Linked DNA regions of Tribolium castaneum. The protein of the gene in region 2 purifies or fractionates together with the protein of the main gene of each other region. This does not show direct contact. Links are inferred from orthologs where the notes say so. Each region holds a gene or a part of one and is shown on either strand. Other genes may lie near its edges. The genes, in order: PNKP and DNAlig3.

Region 1 (8,738 bases), on a different chromosome or scaffold from region 2:
TAAACATGTTCGATTATATGTTGCAAAATTGGAGTTTCTCCTTTGCAAAAATTCAGGTTCTGTCACTGTCTCTCTCTAATGGACACCTAGCAGGTGACGAGTGTCCGACAAGGCAATGTTAAATAACTTAATTGTTGTAAAAGCTGTGATAAATGTGCTAATAATTACTTTGTAACAATTTCAAGAAAAACGCGTGCCCTTTTTTGTTGTAGTGTAGGTTTTTAACAATGACATTTCAGTCGTATTTACAAACAATTCAAGGCTACGTGGGTAAGTGATAACCTTCTGATAATAGAATTAATTATTTATTGTAACACTCTGTTCGGTTAATTGGGTGTAAACACATTGGAATTAATTTAACAAGCGCACCGGTTCCTAAAAAAAGGGCGCGAATTTTGATTGTGTAACATTTGACCTAATTTCTTTTCCAGTCGAATACATTGACATCGATTACTCCTTATGGCTGACATGGTGTTTAGCCCCCTTGCTCATATCCTTTCTGCTTCCTATGGTGATAGCCCTCCTGCTATACCTCACCGCTTTTATATTATACATTTACAAGCTTCACTGGCGGAGCATTCGGATGACTTTACAAACGGGAGACAAGTGGGAGACTGCCCGAAGGGCTGCCGCCGCGGTCTGGGATGCCCACGGATGGATCTGGCATGGTATGTCCCTTGACCCCCCAATATCCAGCAATGAGTAATTATTTCAAGGGTATGAAATCCAAGGTCTCGAAAACATCCCAGACAACGGCCCCGCGCTAATAATTTACTACCATGGGGCCATTCCGATCGACATTTATTATTTCCTCGCAAAGACCCTCTTCTACAAAAACAGACTGGTCCACACCGTTGCCGACTATTTCCTGTTTAGAATTCCAGGTCAGGCTTAACAGCGCCAAAAAAAATCAAAATAAATCAAGAGATAGGTTTCAGTATTATCGCCGACTGCATGAAAGTCATTCCGGGCACGATCCAGACCTGTTCCAACCTCCTCAAGGAGGGCAACGTCCTCGCGATCTCCCCCGGGGGAGTTTATGAGGCCCAGTTCAGCCACCACTACAACCTAATGTGGAAACGGCGCCTAGGCTTCGCCAAAGTGGCCCTCGAGGCGCAAGTTGTGAGTGCCTTTCTGCGGCCCCTTTTTGATTTTTTTTAGCCGATTATTCCGATGTTTACAGAGAATCTTCGCGAGGCCTTTCGGACTTTGAGTATCGGCCGCAGGATTTTCCTGCGGTTGTATGCCATTTTCAAATTTCCTTTCGCGCCCATTTACGGGGGATTCCCCGTGAAAATGGTCAGTCATGTGGGGAAACCCATAGCCTACGACCCCAACTTGACCCCCGAGGACTTGCAAGCCAAAGTCGCGGCCAGTCTGAACGAGCTCATCAAGAGGCATCAGAGGATACCGGGGAGCATATTGTACGGGATCATGGACCGAATACCGTATTTTAGGGCCAGGAATTCGATACAGCATGAAGAGTGAAGGGACATTCCGTAGCTTAATTATTGTTGGATTTGTACGTACTTAAAGTTTTATTTATTTTTATGTGATTGGTGGATGTACAGTAATAAGGACGATAGTACAAAATTTGGTAGTTTTCTTTCACACTCCTTGAAGATTCTTATGTTTGAAAAAAAAATGTCTAAGACTAAGCTCAATTTTTAATTATATCCGATACCTTTCTGTTTGCAAGATCTAAAAGAAAATATTTCATCGACGTTTTTCGAAAAAATGTTGAGACTTCAATAGCACTTTTTTTAAATTGAATATAAAAACGTGTATAATAAACAAAAACTGCTGATTTTTTTTTGGTAAAAGATTATGCTCGAAAATTGACTTCTAATGCAATAGTACCTATTGTTTTTAAATCAATGTTTTTTTAATAAATTATTAAAGTAGAGGTTCGATCGCACTACGAAGATTTTGGGAATATTCTTGGCCGAAGTGGTTGTATCTATGGATGTTTTTATTCGAGTAATATAGGAACGGTGGATAAGAATTCTACTTTGATTCACCAACTTTGTTAGGGTGCCATTTGAAAAAAAAATTTTTTTGAATAACTCGAAAACTAAAAGGAATTTCGAAAAACTTTATTCTTGAAAAATGATCACACTTTTAAAGTACTTGATGAGGTATTAATTGTTTCTTTCGTAAGGTACATAGTTTAGACACAAAACGCTTGGTTCCTTACTTTTGCCCATCTCTGTATGTTTGCAAAAACGAACGGGACAGCAAAATTTACGAAGAAATTACCACTCAATTTACTTACCGACTTCCATTTTATAAACTACCAGAAATTAGAAAAACACTTCAAAAATTATTCAACAGTTGTAGTACTTCAGATGTAGATAGTACGAGTATTTCATGTTATTACTTCAAGGCAATGTATGTAAATTTTAGAACCCAATGTATTAATTCAATTTAAATAATCGTCTTCTCCCATTTTAAATTCACAACAAAAAACTCTTATCGCAAAAAACATTAAATATAAACAGAATCCTGTATTTTGGTGTGAGGTTGTATTATTCCTGGAATGGCTGTAAATTGAGTTAAAAAAACGAGTTAATAAAACAGTTAAAAATAAAAAATAAAATACTATAAAACAGATTATAAGAATTTGTCAGAAAATTCTGATTAGTTTATACGGTGGGTTTATACTAATGAGTAGTTTATTAATTTATACTCTCGAACTTTTTTTTAATCGGCATCTACAGATTTAGAAACCAGGACGTTAAATTTTCCTAAACGTGAATTCACATATTATTAAAATTGTGATACATTATAAAATACTACATGAATTTTGAGAGTTATGTTTAGGTATTTCGAGTGAAGAAAATCTTTCTTAAAATGTTCGATGTCTTTTTCTCACAATTAATGTCTAAATTGTTACTAAAACAAAACATTTGCAAGCTGTTCTTGTTTTACTAAAATTTACAAAACTGCTATTTTATCAATTTAATGTTAAATAAAACTAAGTCTTAATTTTTTTTCGAAAAAGGTCGATGATATATTTTCTTTTATACAGGGCGATTCAAAAGTGTCGAACCAATTGTCGTATCGTAATAAGGGACGTTTAGTAAACGTTAAAAATTAAGTCAGAGTTTTCCCCAAGCAACTTGTTTTTTAACTTTTAATATATTGTGTTTGTTTGTTTTTCTTAGCCACCGTTTATTTGTTGTTTTGTTTCCAATGATGTCAAATTTGATTTATTGGCTAATTTACGAGTTTATTAAATGTTCGAAACAGCTAATTGGTGTTTTTTAACAGATGTTGCATGATGTATATGCTAAATAAATTTAAAAAAATGATCTAAAGTGCCAAAAACTCAAATTAAAAATCCAGCGAAAAAAGGCTCAAACAATTCTTGTCATAAAAGCTTTTAACTCAGTTTGATGCCATTTATCACTTCCTAAGAGATCGTCCGAGACATTTGAATCACTTGTATACTGTCTTCAAGAGAAAGGTATCAGCTGTGGTATCAGGTATAATGGAAAACTGAGATTAGACTTGGGCATTTCTTTTAAACATTTGACATGTTGAGGTCAACCGTGACACAAAATTGTGTTATTAGTCCTCTAACAAAAACATTTTATACAACTTTTCATGCTCAGCCTTATCAAATTTCGGAATGAACGGAATTTTAACAATTTCCGAGAACCCCTCGGCCATTTCCGGTTCCTGAAAGCCCTTTTTATATGAGTTGAGGACCAAATCCCCCACTGGAGTGTGACTCTTGTCCGTCATTTCCCTAAACCTGTTATTGTGCTTGGCCTGTTTGTGACTCGTCGTCATAAGGAAACACCTACAATCGACTTGATTCCGTTTCGCCACATCGATGAACCTTTGCCTTGACTCCTTATCAGGATTCGTGTTATCAATCACCACACTTTGCTTCTTCTGGAGACAATCCTCCAACATTTTGGCACACTTTTGCCACGACCCCAGTTTATCCCGACTGACATGGACGTACCCCTTTGCCACGAGAAAGTTCTTACAAAAGTAGCTTTTCCCCGACCCTGGGGTCCCCACCATTATGATAACTTCTTGCTTATCGGAGGCGAAATGGGGGTAGTCATTGCTGCCAACCTTCCTCGGGTCAAACTCGGGCATTACATGGGGCACCGACGAAGCGCCGAGAAAATACTCCTCAGGGGTGTAGAACTTGAGCCCCACATTCAGGGCGAAAAGTCGGTCGCAAATCGAGTGGTCTTTGTTCTTCTTGGGGGCCCAGTTTTTCTCGCGTCCGGCGGCGTCCCCCACGTAGAAAGACTTCTCGATGTCGATCGCTAAGCCCCCATTTTTGGACTGGCTAAGGACGTTCCACATGCCGGGGGCTGGTTTGCGGTAAATCGACTTTCCAGTGGCGATGAAAACTTGTGCGGGGACTGATAATTTCGCGATTATTGCTTCGATTTTTCCCTTGAAGCCTTTGACTTTACTAAAGTCGTTACTAAGGCCCGACTGGTTGGTTAGAATGACAATTTTGTGGCCCTTGTCGTGGAGTTTTTGCAGCTTTTGAGGGATTGAATTGATGTTCAAGACCCAATCGTTGGGGTCTTTCGGAAACCGCGCCCCCGATTTGGTTTTGATCAAGGTTCCGTCAAGATCAAACGCTGCAATTGTTGATTGGGGCTCGCAGTTGTCTGTCGTAAAAATGAGTAGGTCCCGACCGTCGATCTCCTCCCATTTGCCCGCATTTGAGAAATTCTTATTGGAGTTATTGGAATTCATTGCGAAAAAATCTAGTCTTGGTTTTTTAACAACGGGTTCGTCTTGAGATTCAAAAATAATATCAAATTCGTGGAAACCGAGTCTGACTTCGATTCGATCGCCGTGTTTGAGAGTATATGTTTCATTTTGCATTAAGGCGTAACCGTTGCACCCGGAATAGGACTTACCGAGGGTTTTTACGAGGACTTTTGAGGAGTCCAAGTCTGCGGTACATTCGAGGTGATTTCTGGATACGTGTAAGTCCGTGATTCCCGTTTCTTCGTTTCGGCCGATTATTACAGCCTTTTGGTGAGGCAAAGTGATCCTTTTCTGGGCGTTTTTTACGCATCTTAAGTAACAAATTCGCGAAGAAAGAGCCATGACATTTTACGCAAATAAGAGGTTATGGAGGATAGTATGCATTACCTAAATATTCATAATTAACATAATTTAATACGGTTGTCAATTTTATTACCTTACACAAATACTACGAGATAATTTAAACTATAAAAAGTGAGATAAATATCGTTTTCTAAGTCGAAAAACGCAACTTTAATGATTTTTAAAGTGGTCATTCGAACTACTAACAATAGATTTGGAACTACGACCACTGACGTAGAATCAATCCAGTGGCGTAGCTTATTCTAAAAGTTACGAAATGTTCTCTCCCACAGATCCCTTCATAGTTTCCTCAATGTTGGTAAGTGGCTAATTTGTAGTTTGCTTGAAAAATTACCATTTTTTTTGTTATAGAAGTCTATGAATAAATTACAAAACGGTGGTCAATATATTTTTCTGATTTGTGCTCAGATCAATTTAGCCAAACATTTTTTTATTTTTCGGTATAATCTCCTTGTAGTTATACAGGGTGTCCGTTTTTCGGGCTCCACCATGAGGATCTCAGTTATTGTAAGAGATACGAGGTTGGTTAAATTAGGGCAAAGTTGCGCTTTTTTATGCTGAACAATTATCTCAAAGAAAAATTGTAATTTTCGTTTCTACTTTTTAAGCAAAAATTAAAAGAATCAAACGTTTTTGAGTAGGACATTCATCTGACTTTAGTTTTTCTTATGTACGTCATATTTGATATTTGTATTTTTGAAAAGGCTTTTTGTTCCTGATTACAACGATGTATCACATGATACGATCGAATCTCATATGCAGATTAAAATTAAGAAAAAAGCGTTTTTGCTAAGAGCGCCTAGGAAAATACCTTAAAATTGTTGTTTAACAATCTAAATTTTGACAGTTCTAATAAATATGCAAGCAGAATTTTTATAACTTTGTCTTGTTTTGTTTTGCGAAGAATAAAATTCTAGATTATCACGTTGTTTGGTTTTTAAATAAGTAAGCTTAGAAGAAATGTGAACCTTCCAGAACCACATTCAATTAAATCCCTAAAATCTAGTTTGTTTAAAAACAAAGTTGTTAACGTTTTGTCCAAAGGACTCTTCACAAAAATGCTTTTTTCTCCATTTTGACCAGGATGTAAGATTCGATCATATTATGTGATACATCGTTGTAATCAGGAATAAAAACACTTTTGAAAAATAGATAAAGCAAATATGTCTTTCATAAGAAAAACCAAATTTGGGTGTTGTAACTTTGACATCAAGAACCTCTTGGAAAATACAATGACGGGTTTAGATGATTTGTAGAAAAATGCATAGTTAAACATCTTAGTTAAAAACGCCTAGTTCTTTTGGTTTTTGCTTGAAAAAATTAAAACAAAAATTACAATTTTTTTCCAATAATTTAAAAACTAAAAATTAGGTAATTGTTCAGTATAAAAATGCGCAACTTTATTCTAATTTAACCGACCTCGTATCTCTGATAATAAGTGAGATCTCAATGGTAGAGCTCGAAAAACACCTTGTATATGCACCTGATTAGGTCAGGTCTTTATCCCATCCTTGTTGGACGATTCTTGTAAGTCTTAAAAAAATTGTAGCAGTCATTTCTTTAAAATTTGATTTATATTTCTTTTTTGCATGTTTTTTTAATTCTTGAATGTGGGCTCAAGCCTAGTTGTTATAAATTGGCGAATAAAATCCATTCGATTGCGCTAAAATAGCTCCAGATCTAATTTTTTCGTTGTTGTGTTGCACCCATTTTGCCAATTTTTTTTTCAAATCCAAAACTTGATAAAAGATATGATGTATTTGCTTTTTATAAACTATCAAGGTCTGAACTATCTTACAATACCGTTTTGTGTACTTTCTTCACCATTTCTAAAGGAGAAGCTCTTTTCGACTTTTCTGAACGTGGTGCACTCTTAGGTTCTTTATGGCCCCAGTGAAATTCTTGAATACAGTTTTAACAAAATTTAACGGATTTTAAATACTTAAATATTTTTTTACAGTTCGAACTTTAGGTTTACCATTTCTTAAAAAAAACCGGAAACTTATGACACTTCATAAGACAGCAATTAAAAATTGCTTGGCTGAATTTGGTAAAATTTAATGTCACACTAGGAAAGGACAGGACTACATGAAACATAAAAATTATTGAAAAAGCAGTTGTACGAATTAATTATCCTATCCTCGTATATATTATACGTTATTGTATTTTTCTTATTACTTTTTTTTTTCGAAAACTCTTTGAAAGAGCCAATTAGTAGCACCGTAGACATTATTGTTTTCATCAACAACGCAGTTGTGGCAAAAAACTCTTTTGTATTATGATAGAAAAAAATCCTTTGTCGGAATACATAGGTCGAAATATGAGGCGACAGAAATATAAATTATCGCCACAGTCTAAAAACGCACAAACAGCTGTAAACTGTCACGGCTTCTATTAGATGATAAATTGATGAAATTGTTGTCACAGACCAACAAGTGGGTATTTGATGCAGCAAAATCGCTATTTAGAACATTTACAAAATAGAAAATTAGTTTCTGGGCTGGTAATTAATTTTGGTGGATGCGCCGGGTTAGTGCTTCTTTCAAATTTGTTTTGTGTGCGACATTGAAAGATTTTTCATGTTTCCGAACTGATCTCGTCTTGAGTTTCGTTTCACATAAAATTTATACCATCTAGTCAGAAGTAAAATCAAAGTCGTGTACACACCGGAATAAAATTTGGATACAGAACTTAGTTTGTGCAATTAGGGAGGTGTTTTTCCGTTTTAGTACCCAGTGTTTACGACACTCTGTTGTAAGTTAAGTCACGTCCCTAACAAGATTACTTACACCGAAAAATAATTCTTTTTAGTGCAAACAGCACACATCATTTACTTTTTCCCAAATAATATTTTAAGTTTACGTGACCGGATAAAATGAGCTCCGAAATCCAAAATTCAGTTTTTGACAGCTGGGATTGTGCGGAATTTATCACTTTCTTGTCGGAATTTAAAAAATATTTGAAATATTGATCGTGCGGTCAGTGGCGTGATATTTTCCCGGCTGCGACCTCTCCAGATTCCCATTAGACCTCGTCCATCTCATTAAACGCTTTCTAACAATTATCGATCGTAAAGTTTGGGACATGTTCGGTTTCCGGTGGCAAGCCCGACTTGATTTTTCTCGCAATTTCCGCCGCCGTTTGTTAAAAATCAACGCCTCGCCCCGGGATAAAGCCAGAAATTTAATAAGACAATTCTATTGGAGCTATTAATCCCGTGCACCGGTTAATTAAGAGATTAAATTAGGTGCAACGTTTTAATCTTGAGAATTTGCTTTCGCTGTTTTATTTTTCGGTAAAAATCGTTTTACATTCAAAACTGCTTTCCCGATCCGATTATCCCGAAATTATCGCAGTGCAGGTGCTTAAGAGGCTTAGTGTTTAAAGGGAATTATGTCATTATGGCGGTTGGTGATTTTTTTAATGTTGGCTAGATTACGCGCTGTTTTAAACAACGATTTAGGCTAATATCGTTATCGCAAGTTGGGCTGTAAATCATCTTCGGTTCTTAAGCCGGTATTTAGTGGGACACGCTCTTTGAAAAGTGGAACATATTAAACGATTTGCGTCGAGCTTAGGGAAAAGTTTGTTGTATCCGTAGTCCCTAAGATAAAGCAACC
Region 2 (8,983 bases):
TTTGATATTTTTATATACTTTTGATAAAAAATATATTTAAAATATTTGAAAGTAGTTGGCCATGAAAATATTATTTCGCATAAAAGGTGTGAATAATCTAGAAATTGTGTGAACGGTTATTAAAGTAAAAATGTGAAATTATAAAAACAAGTTATTTTCAGTTGAACAAATGTACGATCGTCACAGATTTCAATTAAATAAAAAATGTGCAGAAAATTGAAAACGATGTGACACTACCATTTGATGACACTTTTTTATAATTTAGTGAAGTGAAATGTAGGTGACGTTGATAATGTTATGTATTTTTTACCGCAGATGGAATTAGATTTTGGCGTTTGGACTGACATTTTTTTGTAAAATAAAATTTTGTTGATACGCAATCATACAATTAATAAGATTTTTGTTGTCCCGACATTTCATATTTAAATTGTAAAATAGAATAACAACGTAAGCTTGCTATTTTAAATATAATAACAAATAATTTTTATTAATTGCAAAAATTTGATCTAATAATAATTTATTATGCTGTTTTTGAATTAATTAGGGTTTAAAAAAACATTAAATTATAAACACTTGTTGGGCAAAGCAATTTTTATAGTTTTAATTAAAAATCCAAAATTTTTTCGTGGCCTACTATAAAGAAAAAGCGAAATGTTTTGTTTTTTCTTAAATATTTAAAATTAATGTAGTACACAAATAGACATATTAAATCAGAAAAAATAAGCTTTTCGAAAATGTCATAGCCAACTATGATTCCTATTTAAAAAAATACAACTTTATGTTATTACAGTTAAACGAATGGTTGAAAAAAATCGCTGATAATATTATTCGATTAGATTATTAGATAAAAACTTGTAAATACGACAACAAATTAAATTTTACGTCCTAGGAAACAAAAGAGCAACAATCGATACCGTTGCTATGGAAAACAAATTAAAAAATATATTAAAAAAAGTTGCTTGAAAAAAATCTGACTTCATTTTCGTGCATAACTGAATGTGCTTTATCACCATACGCGAGTTTGTCCGACACTTTTGAATCACCCTGTAGACTCCAGGAAAGTCAAAAAGCACATATAGTAATAGATTATTTTTTTAATGATTCATTTTTGTTTATTTCTATTCTTAATTTTTGTTTGTGTTATGTTATTGTTTATTGATCTTGTGGTTATCTTTGTAATTTTATTTTTTCCAGTTAATTTTTTAATTACTTCAGTAATTCTGTAGTTAGTGCTCGGATAGACTGAAAGCATTCACACAATTTTTCCTTGCCTCAAACCCCTATATGGTATTTAATTCCGTTATATGAGCAATGAGTTCCAAATATGGCTGTGGTAAGTAACTTATTATTGTTTAATTAAAGAAAAATTAAAACAGTAAAACGTGAGTTTATGACTAAACTTTAATAACGTGTTCGCTCACTTTAAACATTTTAATTTTTGGTCGTATGTTGCAGAACCGATAAGAAATTAATAAATTGAAAGTGATGGATTCGGTTTTAATGCTTTAATTGGATTAAGCCCACGATATATTTTTATTATTATACCGCATTATAAACAGTACCGAGTGGAACATACTTATTAAAAATTAACATCAGTTTGAATGTTATGCACATGTGGAATTATTGATTAGCTATTATTACAACACGTAAACGGGGTAAAGTAAAATCGAAGGCGAATTCGTATTTTGTATTTATTTTCTTCTGAAAAATTGATAAAAGAGTAATAATAACAAATTGTTTAATCCTTATGGCAAGGATCCCACCGGACTGTATACCGCCTATAATCCTGCAAATTCTCTTCTGCTACTGTATCTTTAATCCACTCCACAATAACATGTTTTGCGCTGTTGGCACAGTGAATCGTCGGCTGTGAAATAGTGTCTTTCAAATGCAAAACATGAGTCGCTTCTTCGGGTTTGTCGTTGGTGAGAACCGACCCACCGTAGGCAATAAAATATTTCACCCACTGGGCGTGTCTCTCTTTCACCCCCTCCTCCAAAAACAACCTAACATTTTCGAAATAATTCGGAATCGATTTGCGTTTCTCTTCGGAAATTTTCCGCCTTTTCTTCGGGGGTTCTTTGCGCCCCTGACAAGTGCTTATCACAGTGGCGATGTCTTTGCACGTCTGGAAGACCGAATAGGCCTCCGGATGCAGTCCGTTGAACACATGTTTCGCTCCTGCGCTCATCCTTAAGTCGTGTTTGATCAAGCGAATGACCACTTTCAAGTCATTCGCTGTGCACTTTTTGATGAAAGTTTTGAAGCGGTTGCACTGATCTTCTTCCTTGGACAGCGTGGTCAAGGATTCCAGAAAATCGTCCACTTCAAAGAGGCTCAAGGTGCTTTTTTTCGCCGGTTTACACTCGGCGTTTTCTTCGAAGAAATGTTGGATGGTCTGGCCCACATCGCCCTGTTCCAAGTGAGCAGTCATTGTTTCTTCACTAACCGCGAAAATCTTGCTAAATATTTTAATCAGTTGCTTGGTCTGCAAGTGAAACACGCGTTTGTTCACCGCAGGGAGGAGCAGTTTGCACCAGAGAACGACATCGCCCTTAAAACCGCTCCCGTCGCAACCTTTCGTGAAAATCTCGCGGAAAATGCTGATTTTTTCGTTGGAACTTGACACCTTCGGGAGCTTCGACACGATCCTGCGAAACTCGCGGAAACAATTATCCTTGTGAACCTCCTCAGTCGTGCAATTATCAGATAAATTACTCAAATTGTCGTCGACGACAAGCTGCGGCTGCGGCTTGGTCCCCTTTTTCGGTCTTTTTTTACTAAACTTGGCTTCAAATTCCCGGTTACATTGCGAGATCTTTTCCAAGATATTCACTTTATCGTCGGGGTCGAGTGACTCCCAGCCGTCGATGTCCAGGGGGCCCTCGATTCTTTTAGTTGTTTGTCTCTGTTTTAAAAATGTTTCAAAGATACAGCTTACGTGGTACCAAGTTTTCATTTTACCGGAACCCAGAGGGTTCGGGATTAATTTAGCAATGCGCAAATCGCCTTGAACGCACTTCTGGCGGCATTTTTTGCAAAGGGCGCGCCCTTGCCTGGCCACCTCCACGGCGAAGGGCTTCTCCTCCATCTGGAAGTTAAACTATGTAAGACTCACACAAAAAGGCAACAAACACGCATTCCCATTAAGGGCCGGTTTATACAAAGCTTTGTTAAAATTTAATTCGTTGTTAAAGTTAACAACACAAATGGACCAATCAAATTTGTTCAATTTGGTCACGTGATCAGTTAATCACGCTTTTAATTGCAGATTAAATTAATGACACTTCTATACACCGGTCCTTAATAAGCGGCAAAAAATTATTCAAATATTAAGGATAAACAAATTTTAGTATATTTAAGCTCGCCCAGGTGGCAGGTTATGTCCAATGATAACAGAAATGATAAAGATAGGTATTGAAAATAAATTGTTGTAGGGAGAATGATTTGTTATTTCAATAAAGTATTGTTTAATGGTTAAATGAGTCGTTTTAATTATAAAATACCTTTCTTTTTCCTCAAAAACTGGCAACAACACTAACAGCTGATCAGTTCAACGGTTACACGTTACCCACTGTACAAACCTATTTATTTATTTTATTTTAGCGAAACAATAAAGTTTACGTCTTTGCCTTGCATTTGATTTAATTCTTCCAGGTCTTTTTTCTGCACTGAAGGTATAAGTTTATCAAAAATTGAGTATAGTGTGTTACATAACCTCACTTTTAGATGTCAGATGAGCTTGTTGAAAAGCCTTTTCTGGTGGAAGTCGCAAAGCAGGGGCGTGCTGTTTGTAAAAAATGCAAGCAGAAGTGTGCCCAGGGCGAGTTGCGCATTGCCAAATTGGTTGCCAACCCCTTTGGAGAAGGAAAAATGAAAAACTGGCATCATGTCAATTGCCTTTTCGAAGTTTTCTTGAAGCAGAGACCCACAACTAAACGAATTGATGACCCTGTTGAGGATATCGACGGCTGGGTGTTGCTAGATGACGAGCAAAAGAGCGATATTTTGAAGCGTGTCGAGGAATGTAACAGTTTTTTTGAAACTAAACATGGGGTTAAGCCTAGTCCGAAGAAAACGCCTCAGGAGGCAAAACCCAGTACTAGTAGTAAAGACAGTTCGGGTCCAGTTATCCAGTTTGATCCGTCACACAAGGACAATCAATTTCGGGAATTCCGGAGAGTTGTGGCCGATATTAGCAACGTCAGTAGTTATCTTGAAAAGACAAGTATTGTGAGTAAAATGTTCACAAAAGGGAGCGACGGGACGGGCTTTAAGGGCGATATCGTCCTTTGGTGCCGCTTGCTCCTCCCTGGTTTCGTCAAACGCATCTACAACCTCCAAAGCAAACAGTTGGTTAAGTTATTTAGCAAGATTTTCCATTGCGATCAAGACGCAATGTTGGAGCATTTGGAACAGGGGGATGTCAGTGAGACGATTCAGGTCTTCTACGAGAGGAGTAAATCGTTTAAACCGGTCAAGAAAAGTACCCTAACCCTCCAACAAGTGGATGAGTTCCTTCAAGACCTCACTAACTTGACCAAAGAAGAGGAACAAACAGCACATTTGAAAACTTTTGCGTCCAAATGCACCGCAAATGACCTAAAAATCGTCATTCGATTGATCAAACACGATCTTCGGATGAACGCAGGGGCGAAACATATTCTGGATGGGGTACATCCTGACGCTTATCAAGCCTTCCAGTCTTCGAGGGATATCAAGGCTGTTATTGATCGTTGCTTGAAAGACAAGGGCACCAAAGCCAGAATCGAGCTAATGACCCCGGTACTACCCATGCTTGCGGAAGCCTGCAAATCGGTGGAGCAAGCCATGAAGAAGTGCCCCAACGGAATGTACTCCGAGATTAAATACGACGGTGAGAGGGTACAAGTGCACAAACAAGGCTCCGAATTTAAGTACTTTTCGAGGAGTTTAAAGCCGGTATTGCCACACAAAGTCGCACATTTTAAAAACTATATCCCTCAGGCGTTTCCGCACGGAACGGATTTGATCCTTGATAGTGAAATCCTAATGATTGATACACAAACTGGTAAGCCGCTCCCGTTTGGTACTTTGGGGATCCACAAAAAATCCGAGTTTAAAGACGCCAGTGTGTGTCTTTTTGTCTTCGATTGTATTTACTACAATGGGGATGTCCTCACCGATAAACCCATCTCGTTCAGGAAGAAGATCCTGAAAGAGAATATGACGGAAATCCCCAACCATATAGTCTTCTCAGAGATGGAGGAAATCCACGATCCGAACGATTTGACTCAAATGATCGCCAAAGTGCTCAAGCTCGGGCTTGAGGGCTTGGTGCTCAAAGACATAACGAGTGTTTATGAGCCGGGCAAGCGACATTGGCTCAAAGTCAAAAAGGATTACCTTTTTGGGGGCGCGATGGCCGACAGTGCCGATTTAATAGTCCTAGGTGCGTGGTACGGTACTGGGAAAAAAGGGGGCATCATGTCGATTTTCCTAATGGGTTGCTACGACGAAGCCAATGATCGGTTTTGCACCGTGTCAAAGGTGTCAACCGGACACGATGATAAAACCCTCGAGAAGTTGCAAACAGAGCTTGATATGGTCAAAATCAGCTCGGATCCAGCCAAGGTACCCGATTGGTTGCATTGTACCAAAACAATGGTTCCCGATTTCGTGGCACGGGACCCGAAAAAACAACCCGTTTGGGAGATAACCGGAGCGGAATTCACCAAACACGAGGTGCATACGGCTGATGGTATCTCGATAAGGTTCCCTCGGGTTACGAAAATAAGGGACGATAAGTGTTGGCAGTCAGCAACTTCGCTCAAAGAACTCAAAGTATTGTTTGCCAAATCGAAGGAACATACCGATGTTAGTTTACTTCTACAAGGGACGGCTGAATCTTCGCCTAAGAAACAGAAAACTTTGGAAAGCTTTGTCAAAAAAAGGGGTTCAGAGGATCCGCAATCGTCAAACTCTAAGAAAGTTAAAAAGGAACCGAAAACTGTAAAAATAATAAATCCACTACCGGACTATTTTCACAATATTAAGGTAGTGTTGGAAGACAAAGTGAGAGAAAAACAGTGGGATTTGATTAGGTACTTTATTGCGTACGGTGGCCAAATTTGTAAACATGGAGAATCGGAAAATGCCACTCATATGATACATTTGAACAGTATGGTACCTGAAATTGATCAGTGTAACCCGGACGTTAAACATGTTACCGTTGATTGGATTAAAAACTGTGTGGTTAATGAAAGTGTGTGTGATTATAGACCGTTTGTTGTACGCTGGAAGCCCAGTTAATTATTTATTGAATAAAATCTTCCTGAACAGATATTTGGTTATTTATCTTCGCAAAAATTATATTATATACAAAATGTTCCGTTTAAACCCCACATTAGAAGTATTGGAAGTTCTAAAAAAGATAGGCATCTGAAAATTTGTGTACAATTATAATCTTTTAGGTCCTGCTCCATGAAAATATTTTCAAGATGGCAGGCAGCACTTCCGGTTATATCGGAAGTCGCTATCAACTTCCTTATTTTAAATGAAAAGCTATACTGTTTAATGGGTTTTTGAATTACTAGAATTATTTTAAGGTAGATTTTATAAGCTTTCCTTATACCTAAATTTAGCCGTTTACGAAATATTTATGGTTTTTAATTTATTTTGAATTTGTAACTTCCAATTAAAAAATCGATCTGCTACTTTTAAAAATTTGGAATTTTTTTTAGCTCATTTGAAAGAGGAAGCCTAGATCTTTCTTTTGGTGTTTTCAAATTTCTAAAAAAATAATCTTAAACTTCAAATTTTTAAAGTTAAGTTTGCACCCAAAACTCATTTTTTTCAAATAAAATGCCAAAATTTTTATAAATATTTTATATTTATATTTTTTATATAATTTTAGGTTTTATAAATAAAACGTAAAATTTAATTCTGCATCGATCTGTATTAGCATTCCCTAAACTTATGTTTAATAGTTTTTAAGTTACAATAAATTTTTGTTGGGATTGAAAAATTCATTAGCCATAGGTCTATTAACTTCATTTTCAATTTTGAATACACTGACGAAGACATAGACCTTTTTTAATTCTCTAAATATGATTTCGAAATCTCGAAAACTAAGCGAGTTACCGATTTTTTAAGTGACAGGTACAAATTCAAAAATTTTCAAAAAATTCTAAATATCTCAAAAACGGTTAAACTTAGGTATAGGAAAAGCTGCTAAAAACTTCCTTAAAATAACTCAACTAATCCAAAAACGCAGTGAAAAACATAGCTTTTTATTTAAAATAAGAAAGTTAATAGCGACTTCCGGTATAACCGGAAGTGCTGTCATCTTGAAAATATTTTCATTGAGCAGAACTCAACGGATTATGACTGAGTACCCACTTTTAGATAAATATCTTTATTAAAACTGTCACAACTTCTAATGTGGGATTTAGACGGAAGACCTGTATATTATTAGCAATCCAGGCCTAGTTGGCCCATGGTTTTATGGATGATTCTTTTCCCCTCTTCTCTGTCTTCCCATTTCCTTCTTTTATTTCTGGTTTTAGTTGGATCACAGTTCCTAAGTATACAAAACTTTTTACTTCTTCAAACTTGTACCTTTTTCCTATTTCTGTTGTTTTACTTAATTTTCTTCCTGTGTATACTGTTGTTCAGACAATTTCATGTATTTTGTTTAATTTTCGTTTATAATTAATCCCCTTTTTCTTGCTTCCCTTTCTAGACTCAACACTACTTTTTTTAGTTCTTCTGCACTTGTTGTTGGAAATACTAAGTCATCCGCGAATGCTAGACGTTGGTGCCATTTAGGATAGTATATAAGACCGTTTTTATATATTTCTGTCTCTGATAACTTTTTCTAGAATTAAACTTAATAGTATTAATTAAATTAAATAGTATCGACCTTCTTTTACTTTAATTTTTCTAAAACCTTTTTTTATTCTGACGTTACTTCTGCCATCCCTAACAGCTTTCCTTTTACTCCAAATCTTCCATGTCCTCATACAATTTTTTTCTAATCACCCTATCGAAGGCTTGTTTAAATTTTATAAATAGTAGATGTGTCTCTGTATTCCCAAAAATTATAAATAAAGTAAAAAATTTTAAATATTATTAGGAGCTAAAGTGATACTTTACGTGGCCAAGCTGTTTTTGCCTAACGTAATAAACAACTCGAAGGCAAATAGCGATGTTAGTTTAGATTAGATACTTTTATACTTTTGCAGGATAGTTCAAAATAAAAAAAAGAGAAAACGACAATGGATGTATTAGCTGTTTCAAAACTATAAAAACGCCAAGGTCGCATTTTACCGAATAATTTTTTTCAATAAGATTGATAAAATTGTAAAATAGTTATTAATAGTAGAGTATAAAATGTTACTTCTGGGCCAGAACATTTGGCGTCTTAAAAAACAAGTCAGAACCTTACAAATTTAGCTGTTTGCCCAAAAGCAAACAACCGAATAGGGCCTAAAACCTCTCATAAATCATTAATTTTTATCCACTCCAAAAATTCCCAAATATATGTAGGCCACCAAAAATTGGGCATACGAAAAACAGGGTAAAATCCTACAAATACACTCTAAAAAACTAACAAAATACCTTGTTTTTACACACCCCAAAATGGCTTTTTACTTCTGGGCCAGGACATTTGGCGTCTTAAAAATCAAGGTAGAATCTTACAAATTTAACTGTTTTCCCAAAAGTCAACAACTAAAAAAGGCCTAAGATCACTCAAAATGCATTTATTTTTATCCACCCCAAAAGTATCCAAATATGTGTAGACCACCAAAATTTGGGCACATGAAAAAATAGCGTAGAATTCTACAAATTTGTTGTTTTTCTAAAAGTAAACATCCGAAAAAGATCTAAAAAACCTACAAAATGTCTTGTTCTTAAGCCCCCAAAATGACTTTTTATTTCTGGACTAGGACATTTGGCGTCTTAAAAATCAAGGCAAAATCTTACAAATTTAGCTGTTTGC

The links.
Region 1: the proteins of DNAlig3 (region 2) and PNKP purify together in Homo sapiens (co-immunoprecipitation; 5 studies listed by BioGRID and IntAct, with this or other methods). This does not show direct contact. The link is inferred for Tribolium castaneum from reciprocal best matches to the Homo sapiens genes LIG3 and PNKP.

What each region holds. Positions count from the first base shown.
Region 1 is NC_087396.1:16,408,624-16,417,361, reverse strand, and holds PNKP (uncharacterized protein F21D5.5), read right to left. Parts: upstream 5,319-8,738; 5' UTR 5,192-5,318; intron 5,143-5,191; 5' UTR 5,098-5,142; coding exon 3,574-5,097; 3' UTR 3,179-3,573; downstream 1-3,178. Other genes in the region: DGAT1/2-independent enzyme synthesizing storage lipids, read left to right, coding at 228-270, 432-668, 717-884, 932-1,122, 1,162-1,488. UniProt on the Homo sapiens protein: Plays a key role in the repair of DNA damage, functioning as part of both the non-homologous end-joining (NHEJ) and base excision repair (BER) pathways.
Region 2 is NC_087397.1:11,969,413-11,978,395, reverse strand, and holds DNAlig3 (DNA ligase 3), read left to right. Parts: upstream 1-3,542; 5' UTR 3,543-3,677; intron 3,678-3,723; exon of another isoform or gene 3,724-3,729; coding exon 3,730-6,291; 3' UTR 6,292-6,322; downstream 6,323-8,983. Other genes in the region: DNA ligase 3, read right to left, coding at 1,739-3,091. UniProt on the Homo sapiens protein: Isoform 3 functions as a heterodimer with DNA-repair protein XRCC1 in the nucleus and can correct defective DNA strand-break repair and sister chromatid exchange following treatment with ionizing radiation and alkylating agents.